2 linked regions of the Oryzias latipes genome follow. The protein of the gene in region 1 purifies or fractionates together with the protein of each later gene. This does not show direct contact. Links are inferred from orthologs where the notes say so. Each region holds a gene or a part of one and is shown in the gene's direction. Other genes may lie near its edges.

What was found.
Region 2: the proteins of cdk7 (region 1) and ercc2 purify together in Homo sapiens (affinity purification with mass spectrometry; 10 studies listed by BioGRID and IntAct, counting the BioPlex papers as one, with this or other methods). This does not show direct contact. The link is inferred for Oryzias latipes from reciprocal best matches to the Homo sapiens genes CDK7 and ERCC2.

What each region holds. Positions count from the first base shown.
Region 1 is NC_019867.2:13,783,185-13,794,339, forward strand, and holds cdk7 (cyclin-dependent kinase 7), read left to right. Parts: upstream 1-5,340; 5' UTR 5,341-5,397; coding exon 5,398-5,463; intron 5,464-5,732; coding exon 5,733-5,792; intron 5,793-5,887; coding exon 5,888-5,921; intron 5,922-6,004; coding exon 6,005-6,072; intron 6,073-6,247; coding exon 6,248-6,316; intron 6,317-7,033; coding exon 7,034-7,144; intron 7,145-7,264; coding exon 7,265-7,383; intron 7,384-8,900; coding exon 8,901-9,000; intron 9,001-9,069; coding exon 9,070-9,156; intron 9,157-9,254; coding exon 9,255-9,404; intron 9,405-9,805; coding exon 9,806-9,944; intron 9,945-10,573; coding exon 10,574-10,602; 3' UTR 10,603-10,958; downstream 10,959-11,155. UniProt on the Homo sapiens protein: Serine/threonine kinase involved in cell cycle control and in RNA polymerase II-mediated RNA transcription. Cyclin-dependent kinases (CDKs) are activated by the binding to a cyclin and mediate the progression through the cell cycle.
Region 2 is NC_019871.2:4,139,324-4,149,151, forward strand, and holds the end of ercc2 (general transcription and DNA repair factor IIH helicase subunit XPD), read left to right. Parts: intron 1-1,257; coding exon 1,258-1,376; intron 1,377-1,464; coding exon 1,465-1,534; intron 1,535-1,974; coding exon 1,975-2,044; intron 2,045-2,326; coding exon 2,327-2,428; intron 2,429-2,517; coding exon 2,518-2,581; intron 2,582-2,655; coding exon 2,656-2,777; intron 2,778-2,848; coding exon 2,849-2,941; intron 2,942-3,005; coding exon 3,006-3,078; intron 3,079-3,147; coding exon 3,148-3,218; intron 3,219-3,970; coding exon 3,971-4,114; intron 4,115-4,181; coding exon 4,182-4,325; intron 4,326-4,393; coding exon 4,394-4,486; 3' UTR 4,487-4,631; downstream 4,632-9,828. Other genes in the region: kinesin light chain 1, read right to left, coding at 8,031-8,114, 8,215-8,281, 8,362-8,533, 8,602-8,701, 9,452-9,625, 9,723-9,824. UniProt on the Homo sapiens protein: ATP-dependent 5'-3' DNA helicase. Component of the general transcription and DNA repair factor IIH (TFIIH) core complex, not absolutely essential for minimal transcription in vitro.

The sequences.
Region 1 (11,155 bases):
GCTGGTTCCAAACGCAGCAGGTTTATTAGCTCATCTAAAAGTCCACAAAGCTAAATCAGGGTCAGGCAGGCAATGGTCAGTAAAGGGCATGAAAGCATCAGAGTCGAGACGGGGTAGTCAGGATCCAGGAAAGAGTCAGGGCAGGCGGCAGGCAAACAGTCAGAAACAGGGTCAGGATCAGAAGATAAGACCCAGATATCACTCTGTAATGAAGGCAGAGTGGCACAAACAAGACTTTGCACCGAGTGAGGCTCGGTACAGTGCTCAAGTATGCTGAGTGATTGTACATGAGAGTCAGGTGCGTGGCATCCAGGAAGTGTGCACTGGGGTTGCTGGGAGATGTAGTATCTAGAGCTCTAGGGACGTCTCCTGCCGGTGACCAGAGGGGAAGAGAGAGTTCTGGCTTCTGACAATGACAAAAAAAACCGAACGCATCGCCCAGGCACTGAAGAGTTTACGGAAAAAAATGTCAAGGTTTTTCTCGGTCTTGCCAGTCTTTTGTCCGCAATCCAACAGAGAATGCGTAAAGAGTTTTGAATTCATATCAATTCAATTTTCAGCATAAAAACCTTCAGAAATAAACATTTCACCTGGTCTTCTCTAAAATAGATAATAAAGTAAATCATAATGATGGCGGTTTTCTGAATTAGAAAAGAGTCAGAAGCTCTGCATTTGAGGCAGTTGTTCATCGAAATTAAGCTCAGGGATTTAAACTTTAAAGTAATTTTTTAATAAATTAGTAAATCAAAATAAGAATTTGACTAAATTGAGCCAAAAATAAGGTCCAGAATAGAGTATAGTGTGTCTCAGTGTGTCCACAGCCATTGATTTTAGATGTGGGTAAGTGCACAAAAAGACCCCTGAGATCGAAGGGGTCAACAGCTGCTCCCTAACAACCCATCAACTGCAGAGTATCATTAGAGATTACACTCAGCCGCACACATGCTCGCCAACACATAAAGACAACACTCTCTTTTCAAATCTGTTGCCATGGTTACCAGATAGAGGAGGCCAAAAGGGAGCAGTTTCCTAGCTTAAACTGTAAATATTGAATTATGACTGGAAAGAAGGAGACAGCAGTGCAGGGCAATGTTCCTGCCTGCGTGCTCCAAATATCTGAATAATCGTTTCAACCTCCATTCACCATCACAGGAAATCTTCTGCATCATTTATCGTTCGTCAAGTTCTGCACAAAAAACATTTACCCCTCTGACTGATCTAGCCTTTTAACCGGGTTTCTTTTACAGATTGAGATCTGGCCCAGTTCATTCATTTCTCTTTCTTTTATGGTGCAAAGGAACTTTTTTCCCCTTATGAATGGGATGCCAAAGACACGCTTCCCTCCTTAAAAGTGACATGAAACCTACCGATACTTGAAGGTTATTGTGGAAAGAGTTTGGAGTGGAGATGAAGGTGTTAAACATTCAAACTGAGAAAGAAACCACAAATGACTCAGAAGGTGAGTGTGAATAATAGCCTTGCTGCCTCTATGAATAATCTGAGCAGTGGAGTCAGCACAGATGAAAAAAAAGAGACTCCTCACTGATATTATTAACAAAGCTGCAGCACTTGACTGCACTGAGGGAAGAGAGTCAATGTGCCAACCTTGAGCTGACATTGTAAGAGAGAGATGCTCATGTGCAATCAATGAGGGGTTTTTCTCGGAGAGTCCACTAATGTCACAGGGCAGCTGTGGGGTCATCGCAGCCAAGGGACCTTTGAGACCGATGGAGGTGAGGGGGTTGGCTGAGGCAGAGTTTGTCTTCGTGCAAGGGGGAGGCCAGGAAACCCAGACAGACTTCTGTGACTTAGATACAAACGCCCACTGTGAAATGACATGTGAGTGTGCATGGGTGCAGAAAGTAAAGGCCATTCAGATACAATAAGAAGTTAATGGGACGTATGAAGAGGTTGATTACTGGGGCTTTGGCAACCTAGCGGGGTTAATGAAGTCAATGTCTTTGTGGATAACCCGCTGCAGGAGAAATCTCCCGCTCCTGATACAAGCAGACAAATCAGAACGGACTCGCCTTCATTTACCTTCCAGAGATGACTGTCTTGAACTCCCTGCTGCCCTTAGTTGCTCAAGACATATTTTTGTTCTCATGGCAACAAGGTTTTCAATCCGTGCACTTTCTGCCTATCCCTTTTGCGTCTCCTTCATTGCAGTTCCAACCATTTTCTGTGGCAAATAAACTTGCAGTCTGTGTTGGCGGTGCAAGTTTTGAGGCACAAAATAAAGATATATAATTCAAGACTCCATGTGGGGATGCAATAGGGACTGTTCTAATGAAAGGGATAATGATGTCTAAGAGAAGATGCAGGAATAAAAAGAAACCTATTCAGACTGAAGCAACGACAGCAACAAAGCTGACCTAAATGCTTTTGTTTGTAGATTCCCTGCTGGCTCTGTCTGCGTGAGGAGATGACATTGCACCCATCCCCCCGCTGCTTATAAGGACATTTTCATAATGTCTATGAGCTCAACTATCAAGTGAACTCATCTTGATGTAGCCCACAAACCCAAGTGTATTACTTCAAGTGCCGGAGGAAATTTCGGAAAAAACAAGACGAAGAAGAAGAAGAAAAAAATGCTGCCCTCCTTTTTTATTCAGACTGAGATCTAATGCAGGACTGACAGCATCAATTTTGATGAGTCTGTGTGTAAACATGCAGCAGCAAGGAAGATAATGTTTCCTTCTTCTGTCTGCTTCACAGTCACACTTTTCAACTGGCAAGAACTGAATTGGGCACACTGGATGGTGCATGCCAGAAAAGCTTGCATTTACAAAAAAGTTCTGGTAAACTTGAAGTTTAGTGAGGGTTTAAATCCCTGACCTGTGTGCTATTCAGTATTTAGCAGATTAAAAGTGTCGCAGCATCTTTTGGGACCTGCATTTAGTGATAATCAGCTCTGAGAATCAGACAATAATTGTAAGTATGCATGAACCTTCACACCTCAAACATACACCCTACAACATCCTGTTGTGTTAGTATAACAGCGCTTGCAGGTCAAACGTGTTTTTTTGTGTGTGTACGCGTGTAAGAGTGTGTGTTGGTGTGAAAAAGTCAGTGAGAAACAAAGGGGGAAAACTCCCCAGATGACGGAACGTTGCCACTTCCCCTGAGACTCTCAGAGTACAACAAAGACAAAGACTCTGCAGGTGTATGAAACGGAGGTAGCGCTGAATCATTCACAGCTTACGGATGCAGAAATAGCCTCAAACTTCATGTTTTGGTTGTTTTTTTTCCTAATTGTGTGCATAATCAACAATGCCTCACAAAAGAATAGCCTATCTGTAGAAACTCTGCATTGACTTGCATATGCATTTTGGTCCCTTTTCCCCCCAAAGAAACTCACTCAAGGCTGCAATAAGTTTTGTAGAGCTTGCAGTACGCATCTTGACGAGACATTCATGGTTTGTGGGCACTGGTGGTGACTTTCCTGAGCATGTGTGGGGGCGACCAAGAGGACAGTTCATAGTGACTTAAAAAAAACTTTGCGCAGCGGCCACCCAAACAGCCTCACCCACAAATGATCACGACTCTGCAATCACAGCATGGGGCAGCTGCACACCACGAATACACTAATGTGCACACAACAAAAAAGACACCTGGCCTGCATTAGTTGTTTACTGTACATTGTGTGAACACTGTCCCATCTGAAGCTGCTTCCCAGCAGCAGGATGTGGTGGTGCGACACGTCCTCGCTCAACAACACCCACTTCCTATGAGCTTGATAAACAGCTTTGTGGTTTCACTCTCCTCCTGCCTGCAAACAGGGGCGTACACACACATTAGCTCAGCAGCCTCTCCATCTGCCTGTGTGACACACAGCCAATTTGTGAGCTGCGCTGCCCATCATGAGATTTACTGGAACAAACCACAGGGCCCAGAAGTAAATGACATCGAAAAGGGCCCAAAACCCATCACAATGAAAGGAGATCAGCATTTCCTTTAGTGCTGGTCATCTAAATCCGTGTTACCACTGATTTGTGAGTTTCCCCGCACTTAGCTGACTCTTCTCCCTAAATATTGACGACCAAGGCACTGAAGGCTCGAGCGCAGCAGCAAAGCTTCTCTTCTCACTATTTCTCTCTGCTTGGTTGCAAAGACACATACTGTCAGCCACATCTGTGTGCTGTCAGACTGGGAATGTGCATATGAGGGGTGTATCAGGCCTGCTGGTCCTTCACACTTCTCTTGTCAACCTCACATTAAAATGAAAATCAGTTGTGAGTGTGTATTGTGTGTGCAGCTGTGTGCAGGCACGGAGACAAGGAGGGTCAAAGGAGAGAAGCCGTGCCTAATCCTCTGGGATGTGAGGGTATCTTACTGTGAATGGAGATGGGATGTAGAGATGTGCTCAGTGGAGCATGGATCACAAAATCTTCCTAACTGACAGAAGAGGCACTCAAGGGACCAATGTTAAAACTGCTCAAATAAAATAAAACAAAATAAAAAGAGAGAAACTGCATGGCAAAAAGAAAAAAACGGAGAGAAATGTAACCGTGGTGCACACTACATCGAGCCATTAAAATCTACTCATGAGCCTATTGTGTTTTTGGACAAACACACTTGAATATTATGGACAGATTGGCTACAAGTAAGCAAACATAGAAACTATTTTAAACAAATCTGAAATCTTTTTAGATCTTTTCAAAAGCAGCTGGAGTTTTTAAATCTTAAAACTGAGTTGGGATTGTTACACTGATGTGCTGTCACTCCACCAAATTAAGGACATTTTCGTAACTCTTAGCAAATAATAGTGGACTTGAAGGTTTTTTTAATTAAGTTTACTTGAGTATAAGTATGAGTATAGTAAGTCTTCTATATACCCTGCACTTACAGTGTACTAATTGTAAATAATTAAACACTTCTCCAGACTAAATCGGAACATTTAGTGTCTTTCAGGAACATTTTAAGTTTACAATATATACCCTAGATTGTATTTAAAAATGTAACTATAATATACTGACTAACTTGTAGAATAGACCATGGGTACTTGTAGTAAACTTAATTTCACTACTTAATGTAAAAACATTTTTTCATTCTTTATTTATTTGTGTAGTAGTGCATTGTCAAAGTGGATGGTGAAGTTGAACTTGGGTTATGAAAGTTGCTTTTAATTTTTCCTCATAAATTAATATCCTTATTTCAGCATTCAATTATCTATTATGACACACTAGTGGTACATACTTTATGACATAATTATCTCATTTTATGTTTAAACAAAACAAGACACAAGAGCGCTCCAAAACAAACGACTTGTGTTGTACAAATTCAATCGACAGGTGGCGCTTTTGTTTTATTTAAAGCTAATTCACCCGGAAACAGTTTGTGAGGACCCTCAACGTGACCGGAAGTGTCATTTACCGAAACTGACAGTTAGCTAACATGTCTGTGGATGTGAAAACAAGATCCAAACGGTATGAGAAACTGGACTTTCTCGGAGAGGGTCAGGTAGGACAGAAACTGTTATGGTAATTTAAAACCTGTTTTTTTTTATTTAAAGCCGTATTGGTATTGTATATCTGCCGAGACAAAGCTCTTAAGCTAACTAGCATTAGCCAATGCCTAATGTCAACAAAGCAACCTGGCCATGCTGCTATTTAAACACAATTAGACCATTTAAAAAATAATAATACTTTCACTTTATCAGCAACAATGACAAAACAAACAAAGAAAAAAGACTGGGAAACTAAACATTATGTTCTTTGTTCCTTCTTTAGTTCGCCACTGTGTACAAAGCCAGAGATAAATTGACTGACACAATAGTTGCCATTAAAAAGGTACGGGCTCTTCCTGGTGATTGTACTTTTTAAATGGTCTATTATGGGTTGTTGTTTATCAACAAACTAGTATCTTTTGTTTGTTTACTTTTCAGATTAAAGTAGGCCACAGAACTGAGGCTAAAGATGGTAAGTGCAGCCTTTCTGCACGTCGTTACTGACAAAGCTGGTGTTGTTTTTTCAACTGTTTGTGCTTCTTTTTACCTATATAGGTATAAATCGAACTGCTCTCCGAGAGATCAAATTGCTGCAGGAGCTGCATCATTCAAATATCATCGGGGTATTGAACTGAATTTGCTCCTGTTAACATACAGACACAATTACAATTTAGAGGAACTGTACTGTCTATTAGTCATGTTACTAAAAACATTTGAATGGCAGCTTATGTTATTGCTTAGTTGTGAATAAACATTTTGTCTAATGCTAACTGTGCTTTTTATTTCCCTTTCTTGTAGCTGCTGGATGCATTTGGGCATAAATCAAACATTAGTCTGGTGTTTGATTTCATGGAAACAGATCTAGAGGTGAGAATGTGTCTATATCCACTTCCTTTCAAGCAATCTTTTATTTACTGTCTAATTATCCTAAGTTTAATACATCTTTTTATGAATGTAAAACTGCTGGTTGTATTGTTTTGTGCATTATTTTTTCTTTGATTGCTTGAAATAAACTATTTCAAATCAAAATCAAAGATATATTCTTATATTTGTCTTCCTTTTCATCTTCATATTTTACCCATTTCTGATGTGTTAGGGTCTAAGATGGGGGGGGGGGCATATCCCTCTGCCTTTCACTCACATTGAGCTTTTTCCATTAGCTGCTTACATTAGCGAAGCAGGAAGGGTGGAAACTGTGAGACATATCTTATATCAACCTAGGAAAACCTTGAATATTTGAGTCATATTTAACATGATTACTTCAGGTAATATGAGTTGATTGAGATAACAGCCTTTGCTTCTCAACATTCGACAAAGGGAAAACATACGGGCCCTGCTGTGTTGATCTTTAAGTCAAATCTTAGCTGATTTGCATGTGTCTCCTTTGTCATTTTATTTATTATACTTTTTAAGAAATCTAAATACATTTTCAGTATGGCTTACAGTTATTAAAATTGTTTTTTCTTCTTCTTTTAATAACAATTTTAATAACTTCTAAAATAAGTTATTAAATGTTAATAGATGGTGATTACTTGGGAGCAAACAGGAAGGTTCTTTCTAACTGCCTTTTTATTTTAATAACAGGTTGTCATTAAAGACACCAGCCTGGTGCTGACTCCAGCCAACATCAAAGCCTACATCCTTATGACTCTACAGGGATTAGAATACATGCACCAGCACTGGATTCTACATAGGGTTAGTGCACTTGTATTTCATACACTACTTTTCATACTTTCATACTGTTCATGGTATGCATGCTTTTGTAATGTTTGGTTTTTCTGTTTATTCTAAGTAATTTATTAATTCTGTTTGCAGGATCTGAAACCCAATAATTTGCTGTTAGACGGTAGCGGAGTCTTGAAGTTGGCAGATTTTGGTTTGGCCAAAGCTTTTGGGAGCCCTAACAGAGTCTACACACATCAAGTTGTTACCAGGTCTGTGCAAACTAAGAACCTGTTAAGAATTTTTAGCTTTTGCTTTACTTTTTACCTTTTGAGCGGAGAGAGTTGCTGTCATCAGCTACACAGCAGAGTTCAATTCGATTCAATTTTATTCATATAGCCCTAAATCACAACAACAGTCGTCTCAATGCGCTTCAGAGTGACGACCGACTTGTAAAGGAAGTCTGCAGAGAAATGTATTCTGCGGAAATATAGACAACAAAAAGGTGACAAAATACTTGCATAAGAAATTTTGTCTGTGTTCTTTTCTTTTGCTCTTTAATAGCAATTTAGAAAAGCAAGACCAAAGCTGCCTGAATATTGTTCATATCTCAATGTTTACGTTTAAAAAAAAAGATTTTAAGAATAAATTGTTTTCATTCAGAAAAATGATAAAATATAAGTAGGTTTAATGTTAAAATGTGTTATTTAATAGTAAATAATGTGTTCAAAAGCTTTACTTTCAAAGAAAATATGGAGTTAACCTCTGTGGCGGTTCCAAATGACTCTTGCCTTGGGCTTTAAAGCTGCTTTTGGGAAAAGTTTCCTGTGTTACAAATGTATTTATTGAGGTTTTTTCACATGTGAGATGGTTCTCAGCTTCTGACTTCCAGCATTAGGTCAATCACACATTAACTTCATCAAATGTTCCTCTGGATTTATTTAAGACACTTTTGTCATTTTGAGATCATTTTCTCAAATTATTATTTATAAAATGAAATTAAATGAAAAATGAATAATCTTTTTTTTAAATTATAAAAATAGTTGTATCTTATCTTAATATCTTAATCCGACAGGTTTTTAGTCACTTCAAAAGAGTTGTTAAGAAATGAAAGATCAAATTGACCTAAAGAAAACCCATCCAGTTTAACTTATACCTGAAGTTCCACCAAATGAAACTACAACCAATTACAAGATTTTCTTCCATTTAGATAGAAATTATATTTCAGATGAGTAGACTAATATAATGTTAATATTTTAAATTCTGGGGATTGAATTGTGACTGGCTTTCACAGTCGAAGTTCAGCTGAAACGTAACATTTTCTGTCTTTGAGTTTGCTCAGATACTGCAGATTCTTTTCAGAAATGATTTTCCATGTTAAATGAAAGTATAAATGCTAGATTACTAAATAAAAGATCAAATTATTTGTCTCCTTTGATCACTTAACTAAAGTTAAGTGAACCCATTGCTGTTGTGTGTTTGAATCTATGGGGTGCTGCAGCTGTACATTTTTGCTCAGAGTTAAACACATTAGTGGAGGATTTGTGTTATACTTTTACATGAAAAGTGCTACATAAATAAAGTTTGATTGATTAATATTTCATTTGCAAGCTGTTACACAAGTGGGCCAGTGAGGTAACAGAAAGCTGTCCATGAGCTATGAACTAGTGGAAAGAAGCCATAAATGAGTGCTGCTCGGTTAGACTTGGCTCCAATGGGAGGAAACATCTGAGAGTTTTGTTCCTCTTAACGTGACTGTTTGCTCCGTTTTCCCCAACTGCTTCCTTAGGTGGTACCGCTCCCCTGAGCTCCTGTTTGGTGCCAGGATGTATGGGGTTGGCGTTGACATGTGGGCGGTGGGATGCATCCTGGCAGAGTTGCTTCTTCGGGTACATAAACTTCACATAAATATCCATCCATTGCGCTGATCTATTAAATGATTGTCTCCCCCTCTGCAGATACCATTCCTTGCTGGAGACTCTGATCTCGATCAGCTGACCAAAATCTTCGAGGCTCTTGGAACCGCCACAGATGAAACATGGCCTGTTGGTTTCAGTTTTTTTTTTCCTTTATATATCAGATGAGACTGTCCTAAGAGAGGTAAAACTCCTTGCGAACATCTGTTTGTCAACCGTCTCTGCAGGGAATGAGTAGTCTGCCAGACTTTGTGTCCTTCAAGATATTTCCTGGCACACCGCTGGAACATATATTTAGTGCAGCTGGGGATGATTTACTTGAGCTACTACAGGGCCTCTTTACCTTCAACCCCACAACCAGGACCACAGCCACACAGGTAAATGCCATGTTACAGTGCAGCTGCTCCTCTTCATTTAAAAAAAAAAATTGTGCCAGTTTTATTAAGATCATGTTGTTTAAAAAAGTTTGTTTAAATCTAAAAACCAGAAATAAAAGATCTTTAGAACATGCTTCATTAAAGGTAGCAGGTTTATTTTACGCTGAATTATATGGCTTCACAATAAAACGTATTCTGTAAATGTCAAATTAGGTTTTCTTTTTATATTTCTTTTAAGAATCAAAAAAGATGAAGACACAGAAAAACACTTTTGGATTTTTCATGAGAGGATTTATTTTGTAAAACCACACATAATATATATGGAAACAAGTATGAGAGGCACAGCAGTGATACCTGCAGATATAGTGTACATCCATTGTTGTTTGTTTTGTTTTGCCCAGGCTCTAAAGATGAAGTACTTCAGTAATCGGCCTGGACCCACACCGGGTCCACAGCTCCCCAGACCAAACTGCTCGGCTGAGGCTTTGAGGGAAAAGGAAACTGTTGGGCTAAAGAGGAAAATTGAAGGCCTTGAAACAAGTAAAGATCGATTTATGACTTCTTTTTATATTTATAGTCTTAAGTTCATCCTTAATCCTCTAAAGACCACCCTGAGCCAGATTTACCGATATTTGTGTAATAAACAAAGATCACCTGTACATATCTTTGATATTTATTTATTCTGTTGGTGTGAGCAGCACGTTTGGGTCTAAAAGAGTTCCTAAATGTCCCGTGAAAGCCCAAACTTCAGAAAGAATAGTAAATAGTTTGGCTTCTCACAGTCCACATGGTAACCTTTAAAAGGCAGCATACCTCTAAACCAAACCCAGCCATTTAGTGGGTGTTGGCTGAGTTAAAGTTAGAAGTTCAGAATATGGTAGAGCAAACACTGCAGTTCAGTGAGTGGTGGGGAGGGCTGGTTTCTTGGTGAAACTGGGAGGTTCAAAGCCTGTTTTGTGCTCCTCCTGTGGTTTGGATAATGACTACATATTCTCTGGTCTGCTCTATCCTGTCTCAAAGAGACTTTCAGAAAGAACACTGTAGATAAAAACTCTGGACTTTTAGCATGTGAATGCATAGAAAAGAAAACGGACTTGATGTCAAGTGGTTGTATCTATAAATGCTTTACTTTAATTAATTTAACATGTTGTTTGTTTTTTTATTTTCAGCCGTAATGAAGAAGAAGCTCGTTTTCTGACCAGAAGTGATTCACAGACGGGAGGGAATGTCTACAACGAGATGTGGCTTCTTGCTTTACTCAGGACTGTTTCCTGGATGGAACAGAAAGCAGCTTAAAAGCAGATGATGCTGTCTCTGTGGCATAACACCTCAAGGTGCTGCAGCATCCAGCAGTACTAAGGTGCAACAGAGACTGTAGTCAGAACCGTTGGTTCTGGTTCTTCATGATGCCTAAACTTTGGGACTGTGATAAAATATTTTTATTAATGTTACTTGAGTTTAAAACAAGTAGGCTACCAGACTCACTCCCTGCACATGGATGTTATTTTTATTTTTTCTATGTTAAACCAATAAATAGTAAATAAGCAGATAAAATATACTTTGTCTTTTTTTCCCCCCCAGTTCCTTCACATAAAATGATTAAATACAAAATACTGTATTTTCAGAGTTTAGCATAGTTTGGCGTGCTGGTGCGACTTATACTCTGGTGCGACTTATGTGTGATTCAATTAAAAAAAATAGCAACAACCACTAGAGGGCACTATATATGTGTGTGGATCAGTATTTAATAC
Region 2 (9,828 bases), on another chromosome or scaffold:
GCTCCTCCCAACCAACGAAAACGGGCGGGTCTTCGCATTGTGACATCACAAAGTGAGGACCAGCCCCTTCCAGGAAGAGTCTGCAGTGCCAGCCCCGCCCCCAGGCTAACACACACGCCCACTTTCTCCGTGGAGCTAGCGGTGATCGTCTAAACGCTTTCCTTTTTTATGAACATATGCACGTCCATCTTTGCAAAAGTTCTGCCGAGGCGTCTCGGATGACATCATCACATAGGCGGCGCCCACAAAGAGCCGACCTTTTTGTATAAAGTGTTGCATGTCAGCACAAGACTTCTGTTCACCGCACCAGAATCCGCTGGAATTACGATCATTGCGTAAACGGTTGAAGAGTTAAGGTAGTCAAAGAAATGTAAAGATTGGAGCTAACGCTCAGCTGTGAAAAGGTTTAAAAAAAACCTGCATGCGTTTCTGCTGCTGCTGTTTGTGAGAATCGATTTGTGGAAACGTTCTGGAGCTCAATCTGTCTGTCCTGTCCATCTAATATCGGCCGTGTCTCACAGCCGCTGTGGACGTTTTCGTGGTTCATACGTGATGGGAGTTTCTCGTGTTCCTCATTTGTCGACGCGCGCAGACGTCAGTCAAGGATTTCAGCCGATGGATTTTTACCAGAGTTTGGTTTTGAGCTGGATGAGAATTACACAGTTTCTACGTATCTTAAATTATTACATAAATCTTACACAACTGTGCGTGATTTTTGCGAGATTCACAGATTTGTTGCTTTCCGCGACCGTTCCACGTATGTCTAACGGACTTTTCAGTATATATATATATATATATCAGGTATACGGCGCACAAATCTCATTAAAATAGCGTAATTGACCCACAATTCACTAACGAATTGCATCTAAACAGCTCAATAATCACACGGTTCATGCTCTACGTTGATTAGCGTGGTTCATTCCTGATACATCTGTGCAAATGTCACCTAAAGACTCAAACTTCTCTCACTTTTTCCACACATATGACCAATTTTCATCTGTGCAATATGCACAAAATGTATGTAGTTGCTGTGTGACAGACTTTTTAATCCTGTCTATACAGAAATCCAAAGCAGCAGAAGAACCGACTCGTCTCATCCTGTGATGATGTTTTTCTCGCCCTCAGAATCTTGAAGTTATTCTTTCGTGTTTATTTTCCACAAACGGACATCAGACCGTTCTGTGAAAACCTCTAGGGAGCTCCGTTTCTCCTCCTTCACCACTCACCTTTATTTATTTCTTTCCTTCGCCTGCTCAGGTTTTGCGCAGAAAGGCTTCAGTCGCTGCTGCGAACTCTGGAGATCGCAGACATCGCAGACTTCTCCGCCGTCACCCTCATCTCCAACTTTGCGACTCTCGTCAGCACCTACAGCTTAGGTTCTGCTCGCCTCAGATCCCCGCAGGAAGCCGGAGGTCCGGATGGGCTTTTCACCGCAGACTGTGCTCTGTCTTCCTCTCCCTGAAGGTTTCACCATCATCATCGAGCCGTTCGACGACAGAACTCCCACCATCGCCAACCCCGTCCTCCACTTCAGGTAGAAATGCTTCGTTTTTCTGCACGTTTCCCTCTGGACTCCCGGCTGTTTACGTTTTTATAGAATATAGATGCTATATAGAATATAATTTATAAAAGATGTATAATAGATGAGAAACTCCAGCAGAAAGTGTCAACTCTGAGCCTTTTTAACCTTCAACAAGTTGCAGGTAAAAATAAGTTTTCAGCACAAAAACCCAAAGAAAAAAAGTCAAATTTCAAATTTTTGATTAAAAGATCCACAAACCAGTTTCAGCATCAAGGATAAAGAAGCTTTTACATGGAATCATGAGGTTTTCATCATTTTTGGGACAAACATGATGAAAACCTCAGAAATCTGAATAAATGTTGGTCCCAGTTCAACATTGCAAACTCATGACAGGAAGTGTGAAGTGCTCAAAGCCGCTGCTCCGGTTCTGATCCGGTTCTCTGCCCTCACAGCTGCATGGACCCGTCTATCGCCATCAAACCCGTTTTCCAGAGGTTTCAGTCCGTGGTCATCACGTCCGGGGTACGTCCGTCCGTCTGCACATCAGGAAACGACTAAATGGAATATTTCAATAAACTTCATGATCTTTCCATTTTCATATTTTCTGTTCAGTTGATTAGATCAGAAAAAAGTCAAATGTTTGAGATATACTAATTTAATCAACCTGAGACTTTCTGCTTGTTTATGTTCCTGATTTTACTGTTTATTTATTTATTTTTCATCATAAATTCTTAATTTCACTATAATTGTCGTTTTTTTCCCCCCATGTTTGGGGTTTTCATGGAGTTTTCCTCCTCCCCTCAGACCCTCTCCCCTCTGGACATCTATCCTAAAATCCTGGACTTCCGTCCCGTTACCATGGCGTCCTTCACCATGACGCTGGCGCGGACCTGCCTGTGTCCGCTGGTGCGTATGTGCTGTTGTGGCGCTGGCGGTCGCTCCTCCTCCTCCTCCTCCTCCTCCTCTTCCTCACTCACCTCTGTCGTCTGGCTCAGATCGTGGGCAGAGGGAACGACCAGGTGGCGCTCAGCTCCAAGTTTGAGACCAGGGAGGACTTCGGTGGGTCCAGAACTTCATGGTTTTTCCCGCAGAAGATGGAGGGAACATTCAGGAGTTTGTTTTTTGCTTCATAGCTGTGATTCGTAACTATGGCAACCTGCTCCTGGAGATGTCGGCGATCGTCCCCGACGGGATCGTGGCGTTCTTCACCAGCTACGTCTACATGGAGAACATCGTGGCGTCGTGGTACGAGCAGGTAAGGGAACCGTGGTCTGAGCGGCGCCTCGGCGGAGAACCTTTTCCTCCACGCCTTTGGTGGCTTCGCAGGGAATCCTGGAGAACATCCAGAGGAACAAGCTGATCTTCATCGAGACTCAGGATGCAGCGGAGACCAGCATGGCTCTGGAGAAATACCAGGAGGTGAGCTTCTCCTGCCGAACGCAGCTCCCACGTTTCCGCTTGAACTTCCCGAGTTCCTCTGCAGGCCTGCGAGAACGGCAGAGGCGCCATCCTGCTGTCGGTGGCGAGGGGGAAGGTCTCCGAGGGAATCGATTTCGGTAAATCCTCCACAGAGGTTCCGGTTTTTAGGCTTTCATGGTGAATCCGTGTTTTTTATTTTTTTCCAGTGCATCACTTTGGCCGCGCCGTCATCATGTTCGGAGTTCCTTATGTTTACACGCAGAGCCGCATCCTGAAGGTCAGAACGCAGAATCCGGTCGGAACCACCCTTTTTCACAGTTTGGAGAAAGACGCCGATAAAATAAATAAATAAAAAATGTGCCGTTTCTAGGATTTATGCCAAAACTCAAAAAGTGAACCTGAAGCAAAGTTTGTGAATTCTTTCAGTTCCCAAAAATTAAACATCAAAAAGGTCATAAACCTTCAACCGGGTTTCAAATTATTGTTAAGTCACTTTGATGACAGAAAAGAAAACGTTCAAAAGAAAACAACAAAAGAACAGAAAATGTTTAAAAAAGGATTAAAATATTACTGCAATAAAAGTAAAAAAACAACCTCCTGGAATTAAAATGGAACTTTTTATAAAATCAAAAACCAAAAAAAAAAAATATATATATATATATATATATATATATATATATATATATATATATATATATATATAAACAGCTCCTAAAACTAAACGACCCCCAGTGAGAATGTTTGTCTGCATTTATTTAGGTTGAAAACAAATAACTAAAATAAATCTCTCAGATCAAGTTGATGCATCTTTCCCCCCAAAAATGAATAATAACTAGCAATTCTGTTGAAATATTTTCATCATTAAATGGAAAAAAAAAAGAATCAAGAAACAAAAAAAAAATCCCTTTAGACAAAATCCTTCAAAATAAAATCATCTTTTTTTTTAAACAGAAAAATCTCCTTCAGAAAAAAATTCCAACATTTTTCGTTCAACTTAAAATGTGACATTCCTGCGTTTTTTGGCTCCAGGCGCGACTGGAGTACCTCAGGGACCAGTTCCAGATCAGAGAGAACGACTTCCTGACGTTTGACGCCATGCGCCACGCCGCTCAGTGTGTTGGCCGGGCCATCCGCGGGAAGACCGACTACGGCCTCATGATCTTCGCCGACAAGGTGAGTGACGGTCGTCGGCGAGGCGCGAGGCGTTTGCAGTCCTGCCTAAAAGCTCTGCGGCCCGCAGCGATACGCCCGAGCCGATAAGCGAGGGAAGCTGCCCCGCTGGATCCAGGAGCACATCAGCGACGGCAGTCTGAACCTCACGGTGGACGAGACCGTCCAGCTGTCCAAGCATTTCCTGCGGCAGATGGCCCAGCCCTTCCGCCAGGTAAAGCCGCCGGACCGCCGGCGTGTTTCTCTGCGGGTTACGTCACCGCGTCTGCTGTCCCTCTGCAGGAGGACCAGCTGGGTCTGTCTCTGCTGACGCTGGAGCAGCTGCAGTCGGAGGACATGCTGAAGAAAATTGCCCAGATTGCTCACCAGGCGTGAAGGTGGTCGCCATAGCAACGCCCTGATGGACCAGGCTGCTTAAAAAAAAAAACCCTCTTTAAACCATTCTGTCTGTCATACAGACTGTAAATAAAACATTTTTGATATGTTTGTTGAAGAAATAAACTTTGTATTCTTCATAAAACGATTTGACAGGGTTTCTAGGGCTGTTGACCCCATTCAGTGGCCGTGTGGAAGAGTGTCTGCCCTGAAACTGGAATGTTGTGGGTTCAAATCCACAAGTCATCCCAAAGAATCAAAACTGCCCTGCCTGACACTTAGCATTAACCCTTGTGCTATCCTAGGCACTTTAATGTTGGGAGTTGGGTCATCTAGACCCACTAGCCCTTGTAATATCTTAGATGACCCTCCCCCCCTTACATTGACATGTTCTCCCTACCATGACAAAGGTGGATGAAGATGGAAAGATTTCATGTAATCCATGGACACCAGTGAAGATCACAAATCATTGAAGAAAAAAGGTTCAGAGGACTGTCTAGTGGGTCTAGATCAGTGTTTTTCAACCTTTTCTGAGCCACGGCACACTTTAACCTTAAAAAAAATCCAGCGGCACACCAGCATCCAAAAATGAAAAAAAAAAAGGAGAAACTCATAGTCTGTATTGATCTACAGCCCCTCCCTCCACAATCTCACATGCATTTCAAAGAGATAATTGTTGCAGAAAAAGCTGGAAACTGCAGCTGTTTTTCTAAAAGGTGCAATAAAAGTTAAGTTAGAAGATTTAAAAAAAGTTTGAAGTGTGTTCGTTGGTTACAAGACGTTTAACAACAGATCTCCTTGTGCGTTGTCACTCTCACAACCCAATGCATCATGGGAGATGTAGTGCATTAAACGGCCGGCGGAGATCGCGTCTCTGAGCTTCATGGTTTTGTTCACTTGTTCCACGGTCTGACACCGGATTCTGTGGAAAGCTACACCGCTAAAAACGAGCTTTAGCTGCTATTTTTGGTGGAACTGAGCGACATTATCAGCAGAATCGGAACAAGGAAGTGAATACTTTAACCACTTCTGATTGGTCAGACTGATGACATGTGATTAAGCCTTCAAGAATGATTGGTGGAGACGGGACTTTTCCAAAATACAGCCGGAGCTGCAGCTGAATTGCGGTGCCGTCATTCTTATCAAAATGTCTTTAATAGAATCAAATAAAAACAAAGAAAAAGTATTTTACGATCTTTTATATTCCTAACTCCTCAGTGTTTTATCAGGGCCTGTTTGGATGAACAGAGAGCTGAAATCCTGGAAATGGGAAATGTTTTTAGATCAGTTAATGAGGGCAATTTCCCACGGCACACCTGACCATCTCTCACGGCAAACTAGTGTGCCGCGGCACACTGGTTGAAAAACGCTGGTCTAGATGACCCAACTCCCAATGGTAAAGTGCCTAGGATAGCACAAGGGTTACTGTGCATACCTTTTTGTAGTTGTTTGGCTCTAGTCTAAAGTCTTAAACAGATAAAATACATTTTCAGCAACTATTTAGAGCTAAAACGAAAAGACAATTTCACAAAAGGATTAAAAGTAAAGAGTCCAGTTTGTTCACATTTTCTTTGTATTATTGCGTAACAGTAAAGGTTTCACTTGTCTATGATATGGGGGTCCACCGTTTTACTGACGGTCAAACATTCATCTTCTTTAAACTCATCAAAAACACAAAATACAAACAAAATACAAACACATTTTAATGCTAATCCTTCAGTTTAGCTCATATTTGTGGGAAAAAAAGCTACTTTCACACAGAAACGACTCATTTAAAAACATTTCTTGCCCCCAGATTATGTCAGAAATATAAAAATACTTAAATACAAGGAAAGTTCTACAGAACATTTGATGTTTGCATGTTTGGAATGTGCAGAAACATTCTAGTCCACAGTCACATCTGCTGCAGCTCCATCATCTTAGTTCCAACTCATCAATGTTCAGGAAAGTCCAAGCAAGAGAAAAACGATCCACGTCTGACAACATTAGGACGTGATCTTCATCCTTAAAGGCCTGATGCTGAACCGAGCTGAAATGGTTTTACATTCTGTCAGGTTAGAAAAGGTAAATCCACCATTTGTTTGTCTCCAAGTTTTGTGTTTAACAAATAGACTAAATGTCTATTTACAAGAATAACAAGTAGAAAACGTGCAAAGTTATTTCTCTAATATTAAAAGAAATGTTGCCTAAACCAGTGGCCCCCAAGTCGCAGACCGGTACCCACCTGCCAAGACAAAAGTACTTAGATTACATTTGTTTTTTCATATTATTTTGAAGGAAGTTGTATTTTGTTAAACTGTCGGTTTCTCTTCCGTCTATGACTCATTCTTGACGCTTTTGAAGTCGCTGTCATGTGTTATGAATCCATCTACCGTACTAATTTTATAAAGTAGCTAAGCAAAGTTAGTTAAAATAAAAAAGTTTCTTCTCACAGAAAAGACTTAAAGAGGAAACAGAAGAGTCTTTAACTTAAAAAAAAAGAAAAAACATACGTATTTAACAGACAAAAACTAAAATATTGGATTTACTCTGCATAATTTGCATAATATTACAAAGTTACTGCTAAAAAAGTTGTTTTTCCGTCTATCATTGGTTTTCTCATTTTATTAAGGAGGCATTAGTCTGCCACACTTTAAAATTCAGACAATACAAGTTGGTGTAAGATTTTTTTATTTTATTTTTTATTTTAGTTTCCGCTTTAACGCTTTAAGCTTTCCCATCTATAAAACGCCAACAGACATTTTCAAAATGTCTATTTTATATTAGATTTCATGTAGGATGGTTTTCATGTGAAAATTCCGCTCAGCTTCTAACTTAATTAGAAGCCAAATAAAACGAAGTCCAACTTCAGCCTAGTGCAGCCCAGTCCTTGAAAATATTGTCTGACATCAAAGCGCTCCGTGGCGCCTTAAAAGGTTGGGAACCACTGGCCTAAAAGACAGCAGCAAGTTAAGTCAAAATGTAAGATTAGCAATTTCCAAAAATGTCAGTTGTTATGCAGATGACATTGTGTTGTTTAAAAGACTCGTTTGCCTAATTTTCACATCGAATGCATTGATTTACTGAGTGTTTCAAGTGATCAGGACGAAATATGACTGCATGATTGATATATTTCAGTATTTGTTGCCACACCTTTTCACATTTGTGCCTAAAGTAAATACATTATTTTAGTGATCCTCTAACATCTCAACCTAACATAGTAAGATAATAAGTCAAACTACTCCAGCTCTTAACTTTACATTGACAAAAGATGCTGGTGAAAGTTGGAAAAATGTCCTGAAAAAGGCAAAAAGCAAACATGATTGAAGTTTTTTTACGTGTTTGTCTTCTGGAAGTTTAAATAAATAAATATATTTCTATTTTTTCTGTTTCTTTGATGTAGTTTAGAAATTAAAACGCAAATTCATGGATGTTTTTTCTTTACCTTTCGTGTTGACCTACATACAAACAGAAAGGAATAAATGAGCTGAATCTGGAGAAGAACATGGATCTGGTTCAGTCTCTGATTTAAAACTCCAGAAACCTGAAGGAAGTGTTTTCAGTGTTAGCTGATCCCACCCAACGAGCTCCTTCTGGTCAGACTCTGTGTGCTGGAGCTTTGGACTCGACTGTCTGCCAGATGCTTCGACTGAGGGGAAAAACAAAAACAAACGTTTAAATAAATATGTGTAAATGTGAACTGAAGGTTCCTGAAAATTCGATTGCGTTTAAAAAAAAAATGCAATAACCTGCGTGCTGTTCTGACCGTCTCTGGTCCCAACGTTCAGCACATTGAGGGAGTTTGCCCTCTTCATCCTAGAAAAGCCCCACAAGTCAAAGATACTTTACAGAGTTGCTGGTATATGAGACAAAACATTGCCTAACAGAGTATTTACCCAGCATGCCTTGGGGTGCTTTCCTCTATTCCTACCCCTTTGAGCTTGCGGACCAGTTTCTCGCTGCTTCTGCGTATCGACTCCCGGAGTTTGGTAAAGGAGCCGCTGCGCCTCAGTCCCTCCGGCACAGAACCGCCATCCTCGGCTCCTGACCAGCTGGGATGACCGTCACCTGGAGGAAAAGGAGCTGCGTTCATGCAGGAACAAGAGAGACCGCATATAGGTACCATGTTACCCTACCTTCCACTGATCCAAATTCCTTCTCGTGAGCTCTGGTCAGAATCTCTTTGTAGAGAGCTTCAGCTTGTCTGTATTTCCCCTGTTTCAGATAGCATGATGCCTGAATGGGAGACCAATAACATTTGTTTTAACGATGCAAAGTGTTCACATCGGTAACCTGCCTTACCTCGTGCTTTAGACTGTTAGTAACGTTAACTAGCTGTGCGGCAAACAAATCAACGGCATCTAGGTCTTGACCAGGTTAATTCTCTGGAAATGTCCAGTGGAATTAGAATAAAAACACACTAAACTCTGGACACACTTGTTTGATCATCACATGACCTCCTCAAGCATAGTTTTTAACTGTTTCCTGTTATATTTGTTTATTTCACTATTTTATGAATTTTGACTGTCTGATATATATTGTTGTTTAATAGTTTGAAGAAGGTTGTTTTTTTAAACTATTTGTTTTGAGTTTTTCCTTTTTTTCTATGTTAAGCCTAGAAATGAACAAACCGGGGGCTTGTCCGGGATCATGAATTTGTGTCAAAGCTTTACGCCCCTCTTTTTTTGGGTGCCTAACAACTTTCCATATAACTAAACAGAAACAGGAGTGCTTAGTTACTCCTTGTTGGACTGCATTAAATGATTCAATCACTGCAGTGAAGGATGTGGCTGGACTCACGCTGATCTGACGTCGATATACTCCAGTTTTTTGGATATTTGCTTTCAGAGATTTGTGGGTCAAACTATCAAAGATGCTATTTTAGCATCAACAAAAAGACTATGAGACATATGAAGTATGCTGCAACAACATGAGTCCAAGTGGAAACAGTCTTGACTGCATTTGTGTGTGATCGGCGAGTCTCACCAGGTTGTTCTTGGTTTTGGCCACGTTGGCGTCATCAGGCCCCAGTTTGCTCTGGTAGATGTGCAGAGCGCGCTCATAGTACTGCTCCACTTCCTGGTACTTGCCTTGGTTCTGACAGAGCAGAGCCAGGTTGTTCAGCTGCTTCGCCACGTCTGGATGATCTGTTCCCAAAACCTGGAATCCCATGAAAACCAAGAATGTTCACAACAACAACAACAACAAAAAAAAATGATGACAGTACTGAATGAAAGCTTTGAGTTGACTCTCTTACCTTCTCTCTGATCTCCAGGGCTCTTTTGCATAGAGGTTCTGCTTCTTTGTACTTCCCCCTCTTCCCATAAAGCACTGCCAGGTTGTTGAGCGTCGCCGCCACCTGA